Linked DNA regions of Mytilus edulis. The protein of the gene in region 2 purifies or fractionates together with the protein of the main gene of each other region. This does not show direct contact. Links are inferred from orthologs where the notes say so. Each region holds a gene or a part of one and is shown on either strand. Other genes may lie near its edges.

Evidence for each region. The genes of interacting proteins can lie anywhere in the genome.
Region 1: the proteins of dnaJ homolog subfamily B member 6-like (region 2) and BAG family molecular chaperone regulator 3-like purify together in Homo sapiens (co-immunoprecipitation; 3 studies listed by BioGRID and IntAct, with this or other methods). This does not show direct contact. The link is inferred for Mytilus edulis from reciprocal best matches to the Homo sapiens genes DNAJB6 and BAG3.

The regions. Positions count from the first base shown.
Region 1 is NC_092355.1:71,846,645-71,858,042, reverse strand, and holds the start of BAG family molecular chaperone regulator 3-like, read right to left. Parts: upstream 5,185-11,398; 5' UTR 5,088-5,184; coding exon 4,950-5,087; intron 917-4,949; coding exon 1-916. UniProt on the Homo sapiens protein: Co-chaperone and adapter protein that connects different classes of molecular chaperones including heat shock proteins 70 (HSP70s), e.g. HSPA1A/HSP70 or HSPA8/HSC70, and small heat shock proteins (sHSPs), e.g. HSPB8.
Region 2 is NC_092345.1:102,189,163-102,200,548, reverse strand, and holds the start of dnaJ homolog subfamily B member 6-like, read left to right. Parts: upstream 1-6,401; 5' UTR 6,402-6,525; intron 6,526-11,386. Other genes in the region: polyribonucleotide 5'-hydroxyl-kinase Clp1-like, read right to left, coding at 623-736, 1,643-1,714, 6,123-6,143. UniProt on the Homo sapiens protein: Has a stimulatory effect on the ATPase activity of HSP70 in a dose-dependent and time-dependent manner and hence acts as a co-chaperone of HSP70. Plays an indispensable role in the organization of KRT8/KRT18 filaments.

The DNA of each region.
Region 1 (11,398 bases), on a different chromosome or scaffold from region 2:
TCACCCTTTGTTCCTGTGGTTTTTGTTGTTGCTGTTGTGGATGATGCGGCTGCTGCGGCATGTGCGTTTGTTGATGCGGTGGTGGCTGTCGAGGCACAAATGTTTCATGGGCAATTGGTATCTCTCGTAACTTTGGCTCTTGTGATATAGTCTCTGGTTGAGGAGTTGTTTGTGGTAAACTTGTTCCCTGCTGAGAAGGCAGAGGACCAGTCTGAGTATTGGTTGACTGAGGTTGGGAGGAAGCATGTGGATAAGCTGTTTGAGGAGTGGTCTGTGGATAACTGGATTGAGGAGATGCTGCTGTCCATGTAGTGTCGGGATAGCTTCCTTGTGTACTATTTGGATATCCACCACTTTGTGTACTACTTGAATATGCACTGCTCTGTGAGTTATTTGGATATCCAGCTTGAGCACTGGCTTGTGCCATAGCATGTGGTGGATATCCACCTTGGGAGGAGGAATTAGATGAAGCCTGCACATAAGCAGGTTGTTGTGATGTGAATGGAGGTGGTGGCTGTTGTGGATAGCTAACCGGTTGTCCTGGCCCTCCACCTGGCTGTTGACCAGTATAAATGGTATATCCATAAGGTCCAGTGTGCTGAGCTGTACTCTGCTGTTGTGGTGGTGGCTGGGGCTGACTAGGCTGATTTGAGGACAAATGCTGAATTGGAATTTCTCTTACTACTGGAGATGAACTCCTCCCAGACATTGGAGAACCTGTTCTAAAAGACCTTGGTAGGGTTGATGAATATGTGTTTGGTGACGGCATGTCCATTTGTCTTGGCAATGTTCCAAAGCCTTGCTGAGAAGGATATGAAGGCTGGCCATTTGATCTAAATTTTCCATTTGAAGACTCGTGCATAACTGGTATTTCTCTGACAAAGTATTGTCCTGGGGTAGCAGTTGCTCTGTATGTCTGTAATGAAAAAAAGAATGAGGTATAAGCATTGCTTCAGTCTTATGTCAGAATAAAGAACCAACACAATTAAAACCTTTCAGGTTTCTCACTAAGGCGAGTCCATGAGACCTAGAATCATGAAAATCTGTCTGGACTCATCATTTTCAAAACTGATGAGTCCAAAGATGCATCAAGATTGTAAATTTTGTATAAACTGAACGCACATATCATCATTTAATAGCAAAAGTTTAAAAGAAATCTAAATTTAATGTCATTTCATTGTTCTATTTGGTCATGGAGACTAAAATGATAAATCATATTGCATTAACATGATTAAAATATCTTTTTCTTACTGCTGGACTCATCATGGCCAAAAATGATGAGTCAATTGACTCGCCTTTAAAAATCATTAGTGAGAACCCTGCGGGCTTTCTATAGCATTGCCCCAGTCTTGTATTAGAATGAGGAATAAACATGATAAACCCTATAGCAGTACAATGTTCTCCAAATGGCCTTAAAGCACCTTAGTACCCTTACTTACCATGTGTCATGTCTAGCTTATGAGTTATGCCCCCATCCTGAGGGATCTTAGTTATAAATGCTACATTGTATAGACCATTTTAAAGGACATACACATGTAACAATCACAGTGTTCTCCCCAAAAATTTTGGATAGCATCACATTTTGCGTAAAAAAAATTACTCTATTTTAATGTCATTTGTCGTGTCGCGTTGATGCTCTATTTCCTTTATATGTTTTAGCTTATATTGTTCAATTCATAACTGAGAATACAATTAAACTATAACCACAAAAACAGTTGTTTCAGTTTATGTTTTCTTTATTCATTTATAGTTACAGAATTACTTTTTTCCTTTTGTGCCAAACAAAAATAAATATGTGGTTTCAGTTACCCAACAATACAACAATAAGTCAAATGAATGAATGGTTCATTATAGTGCAACCTGTATATAATATACAAAACTCAATATCTAGTACACAAAATTAACTATTTTTTATATTATATTAATTAAAGATAAAGTAGCAAAAAAAATCAATTTAAAAACTTTTTTATCATGTTTATGAAATTCATTGTTTAAAGGCACTCAATGAATTAGTCCCAGTTGTTTCTTATCTTTACATCAAAATGTATTTTTAACAAAGTTATCTAACAAATAGTCTGTTAATGCGTAGTTTTCTCTCTTGGTATATTTTTTCTGTCTACTGTCCATCTGTTGTCATTATCGTGAAAATGCGGATTTTTGTCATATCTGGTACGGTTCCTATCCGTAGTTTACACAAAAATGTGCAATGGCGGCCGTAGAAAATTTACGAAAAATGAGTCCGAGAATAAACATTGTTTGACAAGAGATTGTGAATGAATAAGACGCTTTTAATGCATTGAATGGATTTAACATAAACTTAAGCCAATTATGATAACTTGTTACAGAAGTATTAAACTTATTTTAGCTCTAAACCAAAATTCTCGCTCTCGTATTACCGGAAGAGAAAAAAAGTTATTTTTGGAGAGTTGCACAAATAAACGATCTTTAAAAAAATCAAAAAAATCGTTTCAATCTTTGAAATTTCGTAATACAAAACATAGATTTCGAATTGTTTTGTGATTGCATTTTTCCATGTCGAAATTGGTGACACTTGGTTTAGTCACAAGTGTCAGCTTGGGATATTCACATCCAAACAGTTATCACCCTGAGGGCAATTAACACCTAGCTATTTAATCTCTTAATTGCCTTTAGTGTCCGACTTAAAGGGATTACAATTAAAGGTGATATAATTTTTATGATCATAATCGATGATAGATGAAAGTTCAAAATTGAGGACAAGTAAAATAGCATCTTCAAAATAATTATAGCGTCGCGGGAATTATTATAGCATCACGGTGAAAAAATATTGCGTCGGCTAAAACGGCCTGGGGAGAACACTGAGTCAATCTCTACCTCTGTTTCCATGGCTCATGTAGATAATCTGTCACTTGGACAAACCTATAATAGTACATTAAATTTAAACTATGATTTTGATTTTGTATTTACATTGTGTCATCTGGATTTAATAAATTTCTTTGTTCAGTGTATGTTCACTTGTCTTGCATTTATAAGTTAAGCCATTTCAACTGATATTCTATACATGTAGTACATGTTTTTCTATTTCAGGAAAGGGTGAAGGTTGGTTCCTATTAAAACCTTTATTACCCTCCTGCTGCCATTTGATTTTCAAGGTTGCATTTTGTGTGCTAAAAAATATGACAGCTCAACGTCTTTGACTTAAGATGTCCAACAATATGCAATAATATCTGTAACACTTGGGACCCATTGATGAAACATACATTTTTTTATAACCATGTTTGATCTTTAGATTTTCATTTGAAAAACATACATCACTGTGGAGAAGCTTGCATGAATAAAAACATGGACATATGTGTCCCTCCGGCACAGTCGGTGTGGACAGTGACATGTGTCCCTCCAGCGGCAAGAGGGTTAAACCCATTGCATTTGTTTGCACCTGTCATATGTCAGGAACCATGGTTAACTTTTACAAGTTGTGACTAGGATATGGAGAGTTGTCTCATTAGTACTCATAGCACATCTTCTTATATCTACATGTACATTTGTACCATGAACCACAGACTTGTTTAGGTCTATTTGTGTTGATGAAAAAACTTAATTTCACTTGGTGGCCAAACTACACCACCTATGACAGCAAAAACCTGTCTGAGAGTTCACAAGGACTTGAGCTATCTATATTTAATTGTCTAATTGAACATCCTTACTAAACACAGATATTTTACCTCATTAAGTGTGGTTCCAGGTGGTTGCATTGTAAGGTTAATTAACATTATCTCCGATTTTTTAGACTCTCATTCATATTTTTCTTTAGAAGACAAAGCATTGTCTTTCAATGTTGTCATTATTTGATTTAGATGCATGACCTCTAAATAAATATGCGTGGGTCTTGAAGTTAACCAATTTTGATCACTTATCGACTTGTAGGAGTCGATATTTGCCACTTTTTGATTCTGGTCAATTATTTCTTGCTTAACAATATTTGACTTATTAAAGTCGTATTTTGTCTTGCATTAAAGGGAGACAAATCCTAATTTAAAACTTGCAAATTTAGACCTCTATGAGTTAAAAGCAGATTCAGACTTATTTATAAATGTCTGAGCTCTGACTGGTATATATGGATTCTATTTATTATGGAAAGGCAAGCTGTAAATCCAATATGAGAACATTGGTTAAATCCATGAACATGATCTTGACAGCTTATGCCCCTTTAAACATATTAAAGTTGTATCAGTGTATTGCAAATATTTTCAGTGTAGGATTTGTGCAGTGTGACTGTCTGTTGGTTAGTATGATGTCACAAACATGACAAAGGATAAGCAATGACCTCAAAAATTTTAAGTGTCATATACTGCATTATACTATCTGAAATATCAGATTGAGTGTTGCAAATTCATCACAAAGGCCATGCATGAGGTGTTGTAATGGGAGTACCTTCATGACGAAAAACGGTAAAATTCTTGCCAAATGACGTTAACGGTAATTTTATATGTATGACATAAAATGTACACTTTCTTTTAGACGATTAAACATCACGTTCTTTTATTTCCAAAATTGACAGCAACAATTATTGTTTGAGACCTCTGACGAATCACCATAAGGATATTTTGACGAATTACAGTAAATTTTAACCAATTTGAAAAGTAATGGAAGCCGAAAAATGACTGGTTGACGCCTGACGTTAAAAGGCGTTATTACCCTCATGCATGCACCAGTTGTGAATCATCTTTATTCAGATGGAAGACTGGAAACCTTAGTGAAGAAGACCCCCATATACATTTAAAGTAATAAAAATTTAACAACCCCACCCCCTGAGACACTCTTTTGAACACAATTCCGTGAATTTAGATTGTGGTGTTATAATGTACGAGTTCCTGCTTTTATCACTTCATAAGGCATTACAAATATATATATATTTATATTAATATGCTGATTTTACGTAGTAAAGACTTCAAATATAAGTGTAAACATACCAATCTCGGATCTTCCCAGCTTGTATTCTGTGTGTTGTGGTCGACGTAATATGGCCATCCTGTCCGTGTATCGGTCAGCATTTCCCATCCGGGAGGTAGATCCATCATTCTACTGTTTTGATATTGGTTATTGTACATTTTTCGAATTTACAAGCCTTATATAGCCAGTTTCTTAACTTATTCTCGACTTGGCTTCAATGATCTAGAACAATCGACTAGGGCGACACCTAGAACATTCCGGAAATTTAACTCGGATTTTTAGTATCACTAACTATAATAAGTCTAGAGAAATGCTAATGTTAAGGGGGAACAACTCATTCGTGTAAACATGACCTGGAGGCGGGGTTCCAATTGGGTTGAGCTTATTTATAAAACAATAATTAATAATTGAGTACATACACACAGGCGGGCTTGGTGCAGAAAAAACATTTTTATAAAATTTTTAAATAAAATGCGGTATGAGCCAACATTACTTTCATTTTCAATATTTCAAACTTTTGTGTCAAGGAAATTCTTATGTATACATACATATGTTATATTTAGGCTAGCTCAGGCTATTACTAATTAAATGATATAAATGAGTGATCCAACTCGGTATAAAAAAGACATGACTCATGTACTTTAACTTAAACAGCGAACATTGACTTCATTTCATATATTAATGAGACAGCAACCCCGAAATAAAACGAATGTTAAAATGTTGTTACTGAACTTAAACTATACATGCTATAAGTTACATGTGTTATACTGTAACGTGACAAGATGAAATCATAAATATTATTTTTATTATACAGAATTTATAAGTGACAGCGCATGGCATTATTAAAGCTATACATGACTTAAAACGCGAAAAAAGTCATGGTCCAGATGGTTTGTTAAACGAATTTTTCATCGAGTTTAAGGACCTTGTGCTGCCTTATATATGTACCATTTTCAATGCCGTTTTGAGCTCTGGATATCTTCTGTCCACTTGGTCTGATGCTATTCTAGTGCCAGTATTTAAATCTGGGGATGCGAACCACCCAGCAAATTACCGTGGTATAAGTCTAATGTCAGCAATCTAGGTAAACTATTCACTATTATTTTGAATAGTAGCTAAAATGGGCATCAATGAACGATATTTTATCTGATGCACAATTTGGTTTCCGTACTGGTTACAGTACAGTAGATGCTGTGTTTTGTTTATATTCTGTCATACAAAATTCTTTTTGTAAAGGTAATAGATTAAATTGTTGCCTTGTTCACTTTTTAAAATCGTTTGATACAGTTGATCGTCTATGTTTGTGGTACAAGATTTCTAAATAAGGAATCAGAGGAAAATTGCTTAATATTTTAAAATCAATGTATAACAATGTAAGATCTATGTATTATATTTGATGGATTTAATTCAAAATACTTTTCTAATAATCTTGGCTTAATGCAAGGGGAAGTTCTTTCCCCTATTTTATTTTCATTTTATGTCAATTACTTTGAGAATGAATTTATTAATAATGGTAACTGTGGACTTGAATTTCAGGACATAACACTTTTTTTTTTTATTGATGTATGCTGATGATATGATTTTGATGTCAGAATCAATCCAAGGCTTACAAAATAATGATATACATAAAAAGTTTATCAAGAAATATTATTGAACTAGACCGTCAACTTATAAATTAGTACAATTGCTTTCTGTTGAAAACACTAAGGAACTCTGTAATTTAGGAAAGTACTTACTCTAGTATGCATTTAAGTGCAGGAATAATATTTAAGGTGGTACCTAACACTACAGGGAGATAACTCTGTAAAATCTGCTAAATGTTTTAATAACGTTGTGTTGTTAAGGGAATATTAAGCTTCTCAATGATCAAAATTAGTGTTTGTCAAACTGCTATATAACCAGTGTAATTTTTCTGATAAAACGATTGGTTGAAATATTTTGAAATTTTGATATTTTTGTCAGAGGGTCAAAGTAAATACTTTGTTAAAATTTTATGAAAATTAAACGAGCCAACTTAATTTTAGTGGAAGTGTTGGGTACCACCTTAAGACCTATGTTTATTATATGTAGTCTGAAACTCACAAAATGTATAATATGTAACTGATATTTCTGACGTTTTTTATTTATGTGTATGTTAACGCTATACAACTTGTAAACTGTGTATTTAAGCATATTATACTGATAAACTGTATTGTTTAAAGTAAATAAAGAATAATGTTTGAATACTTAGTAAATGAGAATTTAGGTTTTCATAATTTGGACTATAAACGAACAGTATACTATACATGTAATAGTACCAGGAAAATATTAAGTTCAACGTTATTAAATTTAAATCATGAATTATGGTATAAAAGAATATTTGAGTACGCGGGAACATTGTTGTGTGATGCGGTCCTGCGACTTTAATATCGGCATTTGGACTGAGGAAAAAGAACTGCAAATAAGACTCTTTTTTAAAGCAAGTTTGAATAGGCAATGTTTCATGACGAGAGTTTCTGTATCCACTTGTTTATATTTTTTTTAAATGTATATTATAACTTAAATTTATATGATCAGAAGCTTAAATTTTCATAATAACTTAAATTTATATTATAATTTAAATGTATATCATAACTTATCATATACTTAGACTAAATAACATACGATTTTTACTGTATGATAATAGCATTAAGTTAACGCAACTTCCATATTTTTCGAATTAGTGCTTAGCGGGCTGATATGAAAAGTTTATCACATGCTTCGATTGTTATCACATGCCTTTCCGTAACGTTATCGCGTGGCATTCCGGTGATATTCGGCAAATTCCGGAAATTACACCTCAATGCTACGTTTTCAGTGAAAAACATTGATTTACAAAGTAGTGCACAAAACAATATTTGAATACTTGAAAGTATATTGTGTAAAATAATTACAACAAAAAATTAAAAAAAAATCCCAACAAACAAATTACTATATAAATGCATTTTTTAAAAGTTTCAAACATAATTTAGAAAGTTACTTGAAGAAAAGCTGACTTTTCCAAACAGTGTTCATTATTTATATTGTTGAATTGTTTTTTGTTTGTTTGTTGATTCGTCCATTCAAAATATTTTTCTTCTTCTTGAGGCATATGATAGAAAGATTTCATATCGAAAGTATGAAATTTGGAGTCCGACGTCCGTGAACTTTTCACTCTTTGAACTTCTATTTGGGAACCACGTAAAAGAATGAATATATGATTCTAGCTGTTATTTTTCTCCATTGTTGAAGCATATGATAAAAAGATCATAACATGTCATTTTGGATGAATATGTGTTTGGTGACGGCATGTCCATTTGTCTTGGTCTGATATTGAACTAGGGCCGATAATACATGCGATATGTAAAATGACATGTAATAATCTGATATCATACCACGATTTGATTCATTGAATAAACAATATTGTTGTAAATAAAACCAGATGCTCCGCAGGGCGCAGCTTTATACGACCGCAGAGGTTGAACCCTGAACAGTTGGGGCAAGTATGGACACAACATTCAAGCTGGATTCAGCTCTAAATTTGGATTGTGATTAAATAGTTGACACAGCATAGGTTTCTGACACAGAATGAATGTGGTCTAATGAACTTAAAATATTTTTTTTACCTTTGAACAATTCACTATGCTGTTGAATATTAATCCTCTCAAAAAAATGTTTGAAGAAATTTTCTTTTTATTTATGAAATCTGAAATGAGAAAAATTTAACCCCCCCCCCCCAATTTTTTCACACCCCAATTATTCAATTTTTGATGAAATCAAACAAAGTTTAATTTTGGACCCCGATTTGGACTAACTTGAAAACTGGGCCAATAATAAAAAATCTAAGTACATTTTTAGATTCAGCATATCAAAGAACCCCAAGGATTCAATTTTTGTTAAAATCAAACTAAGTTTAATTTTGGACCCTTTGGACCTTAATGTAGACCAATTTGAAAACGGGACCAAAAAATAAGAATCTACATACACAGTTAGATTCGGCATATCAAAGAACCCCAATTATTCAATTTTTGATGAAATCAAACAAAGTTCAATTTTGGACCCTTTGGGCCCCTTATTCCTAAACTTTTGGGACCAAAAACTCCCAAAATCAAACCCAACCTTCCTTTTATGGTCATAAACCTTGTGTTTAAATTTCATAGTTTACTTATACTAAAGTTATGGTGCAAAAACCAAGAATAATGCTTATTTGGGCCCCTTTTTGGCCCCTAATTCCTAAACTGTTGGGACCTCAACTCCCAAAATCAATCCCAACCTTCCTATTATGATTATAAACCTTGTGTTTAAATTTCATTGATTTCTATTTACATATACTAAAGTTATTGTGCGAAAACCAAGAATAATGCTTATTTTGGCCCTTTTTGGCCCCTAATTCCTAAAATGTAAGGACTAAAACTCCAAAATCAATCCCAACCTTCCTTTTGTTGTCATAAACCTTGTGTTAAAATTTCATAGATTTCTATTCACTTTTATTAAAGTTAGAGTGCGAAAACTAAAAGTATTCGGGCGCCGACGACGACGCCAACGTGATACCAATATACGACCAAATTTTTTTTAATTTTTGCGGTCGTATAAAAATCTTGGACATACTATAATCATATAATAGTCCCAGTTGCGTTTAACCTGGGTCATAACATATTGACTGCCAAGTTCAATACTACTTAAAAACTAGTTATACCTTTGTCTAAAAGTTATGACATTCAAACACAAAGTTTACAGGTAAAACGTCATCATATTTTTCAGTATAAATGACAGATATGATGCCAGAAAAGGCCGTTTGGAGAGGTTGTCTAAAATCCTTGCACACCCTAAAAGACAAATTATCATTCTAGAAACGCGACGTGAACTGCGTGCATATTTAAAATAATTTCTACACTAATACTAGGTGTAAAAAGAATTCCACAATCTGATCACAACAGATGCCGATCCAGGATTTTTTAAACGGGCTTGAAGAGCCCCAAACTAGGCATCGTTAGGAGTAGAACAAGTAAAACATGTAAAAAGTCTATGATTAAAAAAGGTATACCCCTCTTAGATCCGTCTCTTGTGGTGCTTTTACGATGGAAACGTTTCTTCATACGGAATTTAAATAAAGTAATTACAGTGGAAAATATTTCCTAAAAATTTACAAAAATTAACAAAAATTTATAAAAATTGTTAACAATTGACTATAAAGGGCAATAACTCCTTAAGGGGTCAATTGACAATTTTGGTCATGTTGACTTATTTGTAGATCTTATTTTGCTAAACATTATTGCTGTTTACAGTTTATCTCTATCGATAATAATATTCAAGATAATAACCAAAATCTGCAAAATTTCCTTAAAATTACTAATTCGGGGGCAGCAACCCAACAACAGGTTGTCCGATTTGTCTGAAAATTTCAGGGCAGATAGATCCTGACCTGATAAGCAATTTTACCCCCATGTCAGATTTGCTCTAAATGCTTTGGTTTCAGAGATATAAGCCAAAATCTACATTTCACCTCTATGTTCTATTTTTAGCCATGGTGGCCATCTTGGTTGGTTGGCCGGGTCACGCCACACATTTTTTAAACTAGATACCCTAATAATGCATATTGTGGCCAAGTTTGGTTAAATTTGGATCAGTAGTTTCAGAGGAGAAGATTTTTGTAAAAGATTACAAAAATTTACGAAAAATTTGTCAAAATTGACTAGAAAGGGCAATAACTCCTTAAGAGGTCAACTGATAATTTTGGTCATGTTGATTTATTTGTAGATCTTACTTTGCTGAACATTATTGCTGTTTACAGTTTATCTCTTTCTATAATAATATTCAAGATAATAACCAAAATCTCCAAATTTCCTTCAAATTACTTATTTCGGGGCAGCAACGCAACAACCGGTTGTCCGATTCATTTGAAAGTTTCAGGGCAGATAGCTTTTCACTTGATGAACAATTCCCCCCCCCCCCCCCCCCCCATGTCAGATTTGCTCTAAATGCTTTGGTTTCAGAGATATAAGCCAAAATCTACATTTCACCACTATGTTCTATTTTTAGCCATGGTGGCTATCTTGGTTGGTTGGCCGGGTCACGCCATACATTTTTTAAACTAGATACCCCAAAGGGGATTGTGGCCAAGTTTGGATTAATTTGGCCAAGTAGTTTCAGAGGAGAAGATTTTTGTAATAGATTACTAAGATTTACGAAAAATGGTTAAAAAATTGACTATAAAGGGCAATAACTCCTAAAGGGGTCAACTGACCATTTCGGTCATGTTGACTTATTTGTAAATCTTACTTTGCTGAACATTATTGCTCTTTACAGTTTATCTCTATCTATAATAATATTCAAGATAATAACCAATCAGGTGCTCCGCAGGGCGCAGCTTTATACGACCCTAGTGGTTGAACCCTGAACAGTTGGGGCAAATTTGGTCACAATATTCAAGCTTGATTCTGTCTGAATTTGGATTGTGATCAAACTTTTGACA
Region 2 (11,386 bases):
ACTTCAGAGGAGGGCAAATACCAGAATAAGTAAAATATGAAAAAAACAGGTACAAAATTTTAACAAAATTTCCATCTGGATACTATCTTATGATCATAAAGAAGCTTCTGTCCATGTTTGGTAGAAATCCAGGATAGTTTAAGAAAGTTATTAAAATTTTAAAAACTTTAACCACAGAGTGAATGTAATGTTTCCTGGCAGAAAAACTAAGTCCATTTATAAGTCAAATTCGGAAAACCAGATTTTTTTTTTAAAATTAACTTCTGGATATTATCTTATGATCATAAACAAGCACTGTCTATGTTTGGTAGAAATCCACAATAGTTTAAGAAAATTATTAAAATTTGAAACGACAACAACATGCAGGATTGCTGTCTTGCTTTTTTGATAAAAGTGGAAGGCTCAACAAAAATAACTCTGTATAGGTCTGAATATTGCCTACCTTTCATGGTTCTGTTTACATAGTTTCAAAAAGTTTTGGTATGATATTTTTTACAAATTCTGCCTACATGTCATTGCTGAATGTTGGTTTACTTTCTTTACAAATTATGTTCTGGTATTATATTTTTATACATATAATACACAAGTATATATTTCATGTACAGTTTTACACAAAGGATATTTTAACAACACACCCATGCCATGTATAAACAGCTACTTTGGAACAAGATTCAAATAAATATTTCTTTCCTTTTGTCAGCTCTGTACCGAATATTTCTGCCATTCCATCAAGAAGCTAGAAAATAAAAGTGAAATCAACATTAACTACTGTATCCTAATTAAATAGTTTTCAGATTAACTCCTGTATTAATGGTATTTTTGCATTGAACACTTAAGCTCTCTGCTGTTGTTATAACAATGTAAATTTATCACTAAAGCTCTCTGATGTTGTTATAACAATATTCTGAAGTTTTTAGTTTGATGTCTTTGTTGTCATAATACATTTACCATAAAATCTATCCACTCTTAATACTATAAATTTACCTCTAGAGCTCTAAAGCCTATTACTATGTTCTACCCAGGACACATTTACCTCTAGAGCTCTAAAGCCTATTACTATGTTCTACCCAGGACACATTTTCGAATTCAGTCTTCACGCTGAGTGGCAGCCTAGGCTAGTAAAATTGCTCTTGGGCCTGTAAAAATCATATCTACAGGTCAACAGAGTCTAACTTAAAAATTTCAAAACTTGAGCTTCAGGCCTGTAGATTTAACAATTCATCGTGAAGACTGCGAATTTCATTCATTAATTTTCAACATCAGTCATGAAACCAAGTAACTTGGTATAATTCAAGCGAGCATTTTGATGTAAAACAAAAATTACATTAATAGCTATTGCTTTTCCAAAGAATTTTAATTCTCTGTGTTATAAGCGAGCCATAAATGTACATCTAAAGCCTATGGATTTTGTTGCAATGAATCACCTATAAACCTTTGTTTTATGCAATAAAAATACTTTAAACTGAAGCTACATGTAAACTGTTGTTATTTCAGTATGTCAATCTTTCAAGTTTTTTTTTCTTTTTTTTTCTTTTAATATTCCTTTCCCTAAATCTTCATATATAGATAGAGCTAAATATTGTAGTTATTGCAGAGCTAAATATTGTAGTTATTGCAGGATATTTTATAACTGTTAAAATACCTCTAAAGTAGCTGTAGCTCTGGCTTCTACTTCAAATCTTAGCTCCTGATCTTTCTCTAGCCTATATTCCTCCTGTAATAAATCAAATTATCATCAATACAATGATTGACCTTAAAAATAATGACTGACCTTAAAAACGATGATTGACCTTAAAAACGTAACAATAAAAAAAGATCAGAACTGATTAATTACAGATGTAACATAAACTACACTATTTGTGTCTACCGTATTATAAACAATATAGAGAAAAACATGCATGCCTAGGAACTCCAAGAGGGTGTACCTTCACAAACCCATCAATATATGTACTGATAATAGATTGCTAATTTGATAAATGAATTAGGAAACAACGAGATCAAAATATATCTTTGGTTTGGACATGCTTCATCAGTCAGGAGTACAGTACTACTTGTAAAAGTAATCTTTGTTTACTTGAAGAAGTAAATAATAATATAAATATATATTAAAGTAAATTTTGTTTTGTTCATTTTTTCTTATAATGTTTGAATAATCGCGCGATATGTCTCCCCTTATCATTACTTGTATAAGTTGGTTTTTTTTACAATCCCAAATTTTTCTCATGTAAGAATATATGTCTTCTACAATTTTGATCAGGTTAGCTCAAAATTTTTCATTGGAGTTTGATGTTTCTTCTGATTGATTTCACAGAGAAACTAATTGCGCCAAGATCTTAAAAGAGGGAACAAAGATACCAAAGGGACAGTCAAATTCATAAATCGAAAATAAACTGACAACGCCATGGCTTAAAATGAAAAAGACAAACAGACAAACAATACTGCACATGACACAACATAGAAAACTAAAGAATAAGCAACACGAACCCCACCAAAAACTAAGCATGATCTCAGGTGCTCTGGAAGGGTAAGCAGATCCTGCTCCACATGTGGCACCCGTCGTGTTGCTTATGTGATAACAAATCCGGTAAATAGTCTAATTCGGTAGGTCACATTCATGAAAGGGAAGATGATTGTAGTTACTTTGTAAGGAACATAATTATCCGATATCATTTGTGAAACGGTTATTCAATAACAGTCAACCAACTCGTCATCACGTCCATAAAATTATTGAAGGAATGATTTAAACTTCACCATTTGGAACTCTTGGTTTAATAGCATACGTGTGAGCAGCAACTCTCTATCAAGAAAATCATGATAGGAAATGCAAGCACAGGAATATCGTATCAATTGGGAGATGGGAGATATATACCCCATATGCAAAAACGCTGTTTTTTTGGGCTTGTAAATGAGAACTGTTCTGAAGATAATAGACAAGGGAAATTTTCATTGTCCATGAAATTACACTAAAATGATGAGTAAAGACATGATGGTCACATCTGAAAAGGACAGTCAATTAAAAATTCTATTTGCACATAGAAGTCCTGAGAAATTCAATGAGAAGAAGACAGCCGGAGATACATTTTGTACATGTATGTACATAACATCCCAATAGGTCTCCAGTCACAAACTTTTAGCACCAACAAAGAAAGAGACATACGAGATAACAATGAATATGATAGGAGAATATTTAAAGATTTCAGGGGGATTCCAGGAAACACTAAGCCTTGAAGAATTCCGATACAGTGCCTAAACAATTTAACTAAATTAAACAATGTGACATTACCCAGAGAAACTACAAGTAAGCACAAAGAGACCAGATGTGTCAAAGCTAAATATTGACCGTAGGATCAGGATCACCAGCCTCACTGTGACTGCCACTAGTCAGTTTGCCAACCCTTGATGGGTTTAAACAGGCACTGGCTATCTTCACCATTTTCATAAATTGTAGTTATTGGATTATTAACTGTAAATACTTGGTTTTTTTAACTGTATATCATTATATAGAGGTGACTGTATGGCATGTATGTGTCAGTGTGAATATACTCAAAATGAGTCCTACACTTAATCAGAAGAAACAATTCAACTAATTTATACCCAAAATATAACATATATATGTCGATCATTTAATTGTTACATAAAAACAGCTTCTCATACTGTTATTTTCAAAAACAGGACGTTTCGACTTACCCGAACATCCGCAACCTCAATCGTAACAGCAAAAACAAAATTAAAGTACATGGAGGAAAATACATGGAGGAAGATACACATAGGGCGTAATATGCACCAATGAGAAGAGTTGTGCCATAAGGCCATAAGATTGAGATTTGAGGATCATACATATACAGACTCGTTCTCTTTGTCAGGTAACATTTTTGTCAAAAATTCTAGGCTACAGAAAATTAAACGAACAGAGAAAAAATGTTCCTGTTGAGGCTGTACATACTAAGTCTTTAGTCTTTAGAAGTGTCAACTTGACACTATAATCTCTATCTGTAATTTCGATCACTCTGGTAATTTTATGGCTCTATTGTATTAAAATCATTAGTACATTTGTATTTATGATGTGGCACTACAGAGAAACTAAATAAACTAGTATCTCAATTGTTTGTAAAACAATTGAAAGGTCTTTCCTGTAAAAGTAATGTTTTCTTAATGTTCTTTGTACGACCTTTCGTTTGATATACGACAAGCATACCTTCTGAAACTTTTCGCTTTTTACACTTAATGACCTCATCAGCCTACATTTTTGAGATCGGAAGTATGATATATGTAACACAGGGTAGATGAGATTTCGTTTGATATGCGACAACGCCATGTTCTAAAAAGTTTGATTTTTACACTTAATAACCCTACCCAACTAATTTTTGGAGGTTGGGAATTTGATATTTCAAATGTACACATCATGACCTTTCATTTGATATACAACAACCTTACCGTAAAAGAAGATTTATTTTTTGCACTCAATGACCCCATCCAACCCATTTTTGGGAGACGTCAATTTGAAATTTGAAATGTACGCTTTATATTCTTTCATTTGATATGCGACAACCTTACCATCTGAGAAATTTGAATGTTTGCACTAAATGACCCCACCCGTCCCCCTGGGATGAAAAAGGGGTTTAAAATTTTCATTTTTAAGTAGAGTTTATTAAGACCTTCAATATGATATATCAGATGACCCCATATGACAAAGTGCAAATAATGATGTAATATCAACTATATAAATAGAAGTTATGAAACTTACAAAGTCAATGCAAAGCTTGAAATTTTCAAATTGATTTTTTGGTGTTTTTTTTCCATGGAATATTTTTCGTATTTGGTCAAACATATAACTATGTCAACCTCTTCAATTTCTAAAACATTTTAAGTGCTAAGCTCTGGTTGATTCAGAAATACATGCCTCCGCTCGCAAAACTTCAAACTGCATTATCTCAAAAACGACAATAGATATCTCAAATCTGTTAAATGATAAATGATCTACAGTTGAAGGACAACATTATAGGAAAAGAATTGAAACAATTTGAAAGTTCAACAAGGTCACAATTAATCATCAAATATATGATGCAAAACCAAACTTGAGAACCGGAAGTCGTAGAGACATGGGACTATCACCATTCAACTCAAGACCACTTGACCTTTCAAATATCACAAGGTCAAGGTCATAGTATAATATGAAGGTCAAGGTGAAATTTCATCATGACCTGACATTGACCTCAAATTGAAGGCCTTGAATTACTGATCATCTTTGCTGTTGATAGTAGGTTGATATCTGTTACCTTTAAAAAGATATACACACAATACTATACTTGTAAGACTCATCCCGTTGTAACTTTTGAACAGACGGTCGGACATTTTTGGGCTTATTGTATAAAATGTAGAACTCGTTGTGAAGAACATTTTATACGCTATATGTATGCAGTAAAGTCTTATCGTTTTTCTAATATGTAAGCTTGAGATTGCAGCGTAATTTTTTTTTTGCACTCGGTGACCTTTGACCTTGGATGCATATTAAAGGTCATATGAATTTAAGATTATTGGTGAAGGTTCCAAGTCTCTATGACTTTCGGTTCTCAAAATAGAATTTTTGAAAAATTATTTTTAAATTTTAAAGGGAAATAACTCCTTATAAGGGATGGCAACAAATTAATTGTTTATGTTTATAAACATTTCCATCTGTTCTTATACATGCTGTCATTTTCAATTCAATTCTATCTCTAATACTTTTTGAGAAAAATGCAAATAAAAGAAATTGTTTCAAGGGGATATAACTCTCAAAGGGGATGATGAAATCTTATGCAGCCTCATATGGTAATACATCATGATGAGATCTACCTATTGACCAATTAAAGTTATGATACCTTTTAACTAATTTTGGGGGGACCATGTTGAAAAAAATCAATAAATGGGAGATTACTCCTCAAGGGGAGGGTGAAATCCTACAAAAGTTCATCTGGTAAAAGTTCATGTTGAGGTCTATCGATGGTTCAATTTTGGTATTGATAACTCCAATAGAAGCGGTAGGAGGGCCTGCCAAAAATACAAATCCTTGTTCAAAGGATTCAAAATCAGCTTTGTGATCTTAAGCCATAAAACGTTAAAACAAATATGTGTATATTAAATACCTCTTTCTTTTCTTCGGACATGTTTTATTCCTGTGCCGATGAGCAGCAAAACTTCTGCTAAATTATGTTTCAACAAAATTTGTTTCTCATGGGGGCTGCCATTTTAAAAATTACTCTTTAAACATTTGATTTTTTTATGTTCAGCATTTCTGATTTAAGTTCTTTGTATTTGAATTATACTTAATATTAAATAAAATTTAATTGATACATAATTTCTATCATTAATTATCAATGTTTAACCTTTCAATTCATATATACTCTCTAAATATAGTCAAAATCATTCATGCGTTTTATACGGAATACACTTTACAGAGACGGATAAGCTTCTTGTTTGGAAATAATATTGGCCTACTTTCTGTTCTATTCTTTTCTATTCTGTTCCAAAAGAACAAAACAAAGATTGGTAAGTTGATTAGTATTGAGTAGAATTAACTAGAGAAAAAGGCAAGCATGTATATTTATCGAAAGCTATGAACGAAAAAAAATGAAATAGAAAAGATGTTTTTTTGCACAGAATTTCAGAAATTATAAATGATTATAGACAGACTAAAGAATCTTATTTGTATATAGTGGCTATAGTATTTTTACCTGATAAATATTGAATATTGTACAATGTATTCTTTATGATGTACATGTATATGAGACAAAATTATAGTTACCTGTACCATTATAAACTTGTACCAATGTCAACTCATACCACTAAAAAAAACTTGTACTAATGCAAACTTGTACCACTGCTAACTTGTACCACTGTAAATTCATACCATTGTAAACTTGTACCAACTTATATAATTATTGAAATGCATTGAACATTTTGAAATGGTGTTTAATGATGAATATACAGTGGAGTAGTCCCCGGTGTCTGCGCGGCCCGTGATATCGCGCATTAGCTTATTTTGTCATATCAACACAGTATCACAAACACAATCGTTCTTGTTATTGTTTTAGCCATCTGAAGGGATAAAAAAGAATAAAATTGATAAGTTCAAGAGTTAATTAATAACTGCAATCCCGTAATTTGCCATATTTGGCCAATTTCCGTTAAAAAAAAATACATCATCAGATAAAATTTGTTTTATTTAAGTCAAACTTATATCAGATTGAAATGATTTTTGCTCTGCATCCTTGGCAGTGTTTTTGGTTCAAACTCAGCTATATTTCGTAGTATAAAATCTTTTCTTTTTTTAAAATAAGCTATTTTTGGAAGGCATGCGCGAAATCACCGGACATTGGAGGAACTCTCAGAACAGGGTTTCCCTAATTTTGGACACATATTACACAAAATCTTGAGGGTGAAACCATACAAACAGAAGATTTTATGAAATAAAAGTATGTTATGAATGTGTTCACATAATATTATTCATTTATTGGTTTTATCAGTTGAATGAAGTGAAGTCATAAGTCTTAGGTGAGCGGATACACCGGACTGCACCGTATACTTTAATTTCACTCAATACCTCTTAAGTCTGTAAAATGTATAATATGAGGCAGGCATTACCTGTGAAAGGGAACGAAGTCTATGATTTTATTTTAATTCAAACATATCTTAATTTCGAAACGGAAATACCGTAATGTTTCCGATTTTGGTTCTCTTGTTAGGGATTTTAGTTGTGCCGTTATTTAAGTTATGACGTCATATGCAATTTTAACAAAGAAACGCTATCATTAGGTAACGTTTTTTCATATCAAGGAATTATTAAAAAAATGAAATTGATATTGCGTTCCTTCCTATTTTATACTAAACTGATAAATATATATATTTTACTCAAAATTTCATGCAAACAAGACCGGAAAAAGGAAGAACATTGTAGATTTCTGCGCAGATGCAGGAATTCAAAACATGACATAAAAAAAATTGAACTATTTTGAGTTCATTAGTACAATGAAAATATCGGGAAAATTTTTCCGTTTTTTTTTTTTATTGAATTTTCTACTGTTATTGGGGACTTTGTCCCCATATAATTTGAAATTACGTTGACCCATGTGTAGCTTATTTTCCATGTCTAACTAATTCCCATAATTGACCCTGTTATTATAGATCGCTTTTTTTAGTTGTCTCTTTTATGAGGTACATTAATTTGTATTTACAATGGAGAGCTACAATGTAGCAGAAAGAGCAAATTAACCTGATCGTAAATTCGTAATGTGAGTAATCGTTCACACAATGACAAGATCAAGTTAGAATTTGTTCCGTTACAATGATTTTTGTCGAGCCTTCGACTTTAGAAGAAAAAGCGAGACAGCGATCCTACATTCCATCGGTGTCATCGACGGCGTCCACAAATATTCACTCTGTGGTTAAAGTTTTTGAAATTTTAATAACTTTCTTGAAATATCCTACATTGTAGATTTCTACCAAACTTGGACAGAAGCTTGTTTATGTTCATAAGATAGTATCCAGGAGTAAATTTTGTAAAAATAAAATTCCATTTTTTCCATATTTTACATTTTTTTACTTATAAATGGACTTAGTTTTTCTGCTCGGAACCATTACATGTACATGCAATCTGTGGTTAAAGTTTTTAAAATTTTAATAACTTTCTTAAACTATCCTGGAATTGTACGAAACTTGGCCAGAAGCTTGTTTTTCTTCTAGTTAACATTACATACAGTCTGCAGTTAAAGTTGTTAAAACATTTTTAAGTTTCTTAAACTAGCCTGGAATTTTACCGAACTTGAACAGAAGCTTCTGACAATCAAAAGATAGTATCGAGAGGAATAATTTTGTTGATTTTTTTCTTCATTTTTGTTGAGTGTGTGATTAACAGCAAAAGTAGACAGGACAATGGGTTCCGCGGAACCCTTATAAATTTTTTAACCAGATTGGGACTATTTAATACCATGCAATACTCACAATATGCTTGTTTTTGGGGGAAAGACGGCTTCAAGCCGTCAATCCCATATGGGGTTGACCAGAGTGACATTCCCTCACATCATTCATTTTGTTTTTATAGTGTGATTACCCCCAAAAAATCTTACTGAGCTTGATGAGAAGGAAACACACAAATGAAAAGATTGACTTTAAATACTTTTCTACATATTTCCCTTCTGTTTCTAGCGAAATTATCGTATTTTGAGCTCTCTTTTACACTATTTACGTTTCTTTTACAATCCGGAAAAATCAGTGACGAGATATTCTAAATATATCCAACCTACATTATATTTTATAATGACGTCATTGTTGGAATGCCACACTATGAAGAAGCAGGGATATTCTTCACTGGTTATTTAAATCATTCTCAGAGTTCGTGCACTAATTGTAAATTATTTGTTAAATTTAAACATAATTATGTTTGCTGTAGATGATTCAAACATCAACATGCAATACTTTAATTTGTAGGTCAACAACTTTCAGAGTAAACAAGGGTCGTGGAGATACATGTACATGAGATCGGGGAGAGAAACAATTTTTTTCATTTTTTCTGTAAAATTCTGTTCTGTGAATCTTCCTCCAAATCAGGAGCACCTCAATTGATGAGTAATTATCCACTAAAATAAAACTTGAAAATGTGACATTTAGTATATGATTAGTAGTCTTCCATTAAAACTAAATTGTGTGTACCAACAAATAAATCATTGTAATGGTAAAAAATGTTTCTTTTAAAAAGTTGCATTTTATAGTTTAAACCTATAATAATTTATTCATGAAATTTACAAATATTTCAAAATGTAGGATCTGGAAACAAGCTTCACACATTTTACATCAATCATATTATTTTTTATTAGTACCTGTACCCCTGTGATGAGAGTTGTAACTGGGAACTTTATCAATGGAAATTTGAAATTAAATAGATTTTTCAGTCCTAACTTTCTTAAGAAAAAAATTAAAAATCTTAGAGTACTGTCACAAAAAATGGAAAATTCAGTTCAGTGGTACACAATTAAGATTTCAGAAAACATTGTAGTTGTTGTTAAATGACAGAAATCAGTTGAATTTTACATAATTAACTATCAACTTTAATCGAATGTTTAGATTTAGAAGATGCAGATCTCTTGGTCCAAATTGAATCATACTAAGGAAACAAAATTAAATTAAACAACAATTGACTTCAATATTGTCAACCTTTCTACATGTTCTAGCTGTTCTCTTTTTTCATTCTTTATATATGAAGACTATCAAAAGATACCCCCCCCCAAAAAAAAAAAGAAGAGACAAGGGCCATCTTTCCCCTCAGAGCTATTCAGCTCTTTGATTTCTGAAGTGCTGCCCAAAAATATATTGATATAGTTAATTCCTGAATTATGTGTGTTGCAGAATTTTCGGTTTCAAATTTTGATCCAATTTAAATACAGTAATTCTGTGAAGATTATATGTGACAGAGGACAAACAACATATCAGTAGCTATTTAAAATAAGCTTTTTCTCACTGAAATAAAAATTTATGAAATAGATCTGGATGTTTAATTTTACTAATAAGGCCTCTTTATAAATAATGTTTTGAGTGTATAAACAAGTCTGAAGAATTGTTAAAAAAAGAACTATCACCAACTGTTATGGTCTGGACCTTTAGCCAAAACCCCTATGCCCAAGTCTAGTAAAAATTTGATAAAATTTGTATGTAGGAAAAATCTTAAAAATACAGATTTAGCAAGTAGCTGATATTTTTTTTTTGCATAGACTGATCAACATACATTTTTTAAAACAAATCACCTTGTGCTATGTGACCCTACAATAAAACAAGTATGCTACATTCATGAAAGTTTTAATTTTTTTGTAATCTAGGAAAAGTACAAAATGTACCACCCTGACCTTTATGACCTTTATTTTATGCTTCAACTATAAATCATTTTATTAAGCATCTCATTCTGATTTCATTCCTTAAATTTCCTATTTAATAAAGTTATTTAATTTGTTTCACCAACAAACTGGTAGATGACTTGCTTAGTTCAGGTCTAACTCATCAATTTCGGTTAAATTAATAGACTGCAGTGATAAGTTCAGTCAAAGTTATTAAGACCGGTTCAACATATTTTAGGTTACAAAGCTGCAATATGCAATTTTATAAGAAGCTGAGCAGAATGATACAGACAGTGAGAGGACCAATAATAATCTCTATGTCTGTCTCGCACAGTTTTCAAGCCAGCTCTCTGAAATTAAATTTCACTGCAAGATTGCACATATGTTGAAGTTGTGCATCTGCTATTATGGAATTGTTTGAGGATTTTTTTTTCTCAATTTCCTGACATAGGATTTTTTTTTTAATCTAGTCACAAATATTGCAAAAATTGTTAAGTGGCAAAGTAATTGAAAGTAAAACAGAACGA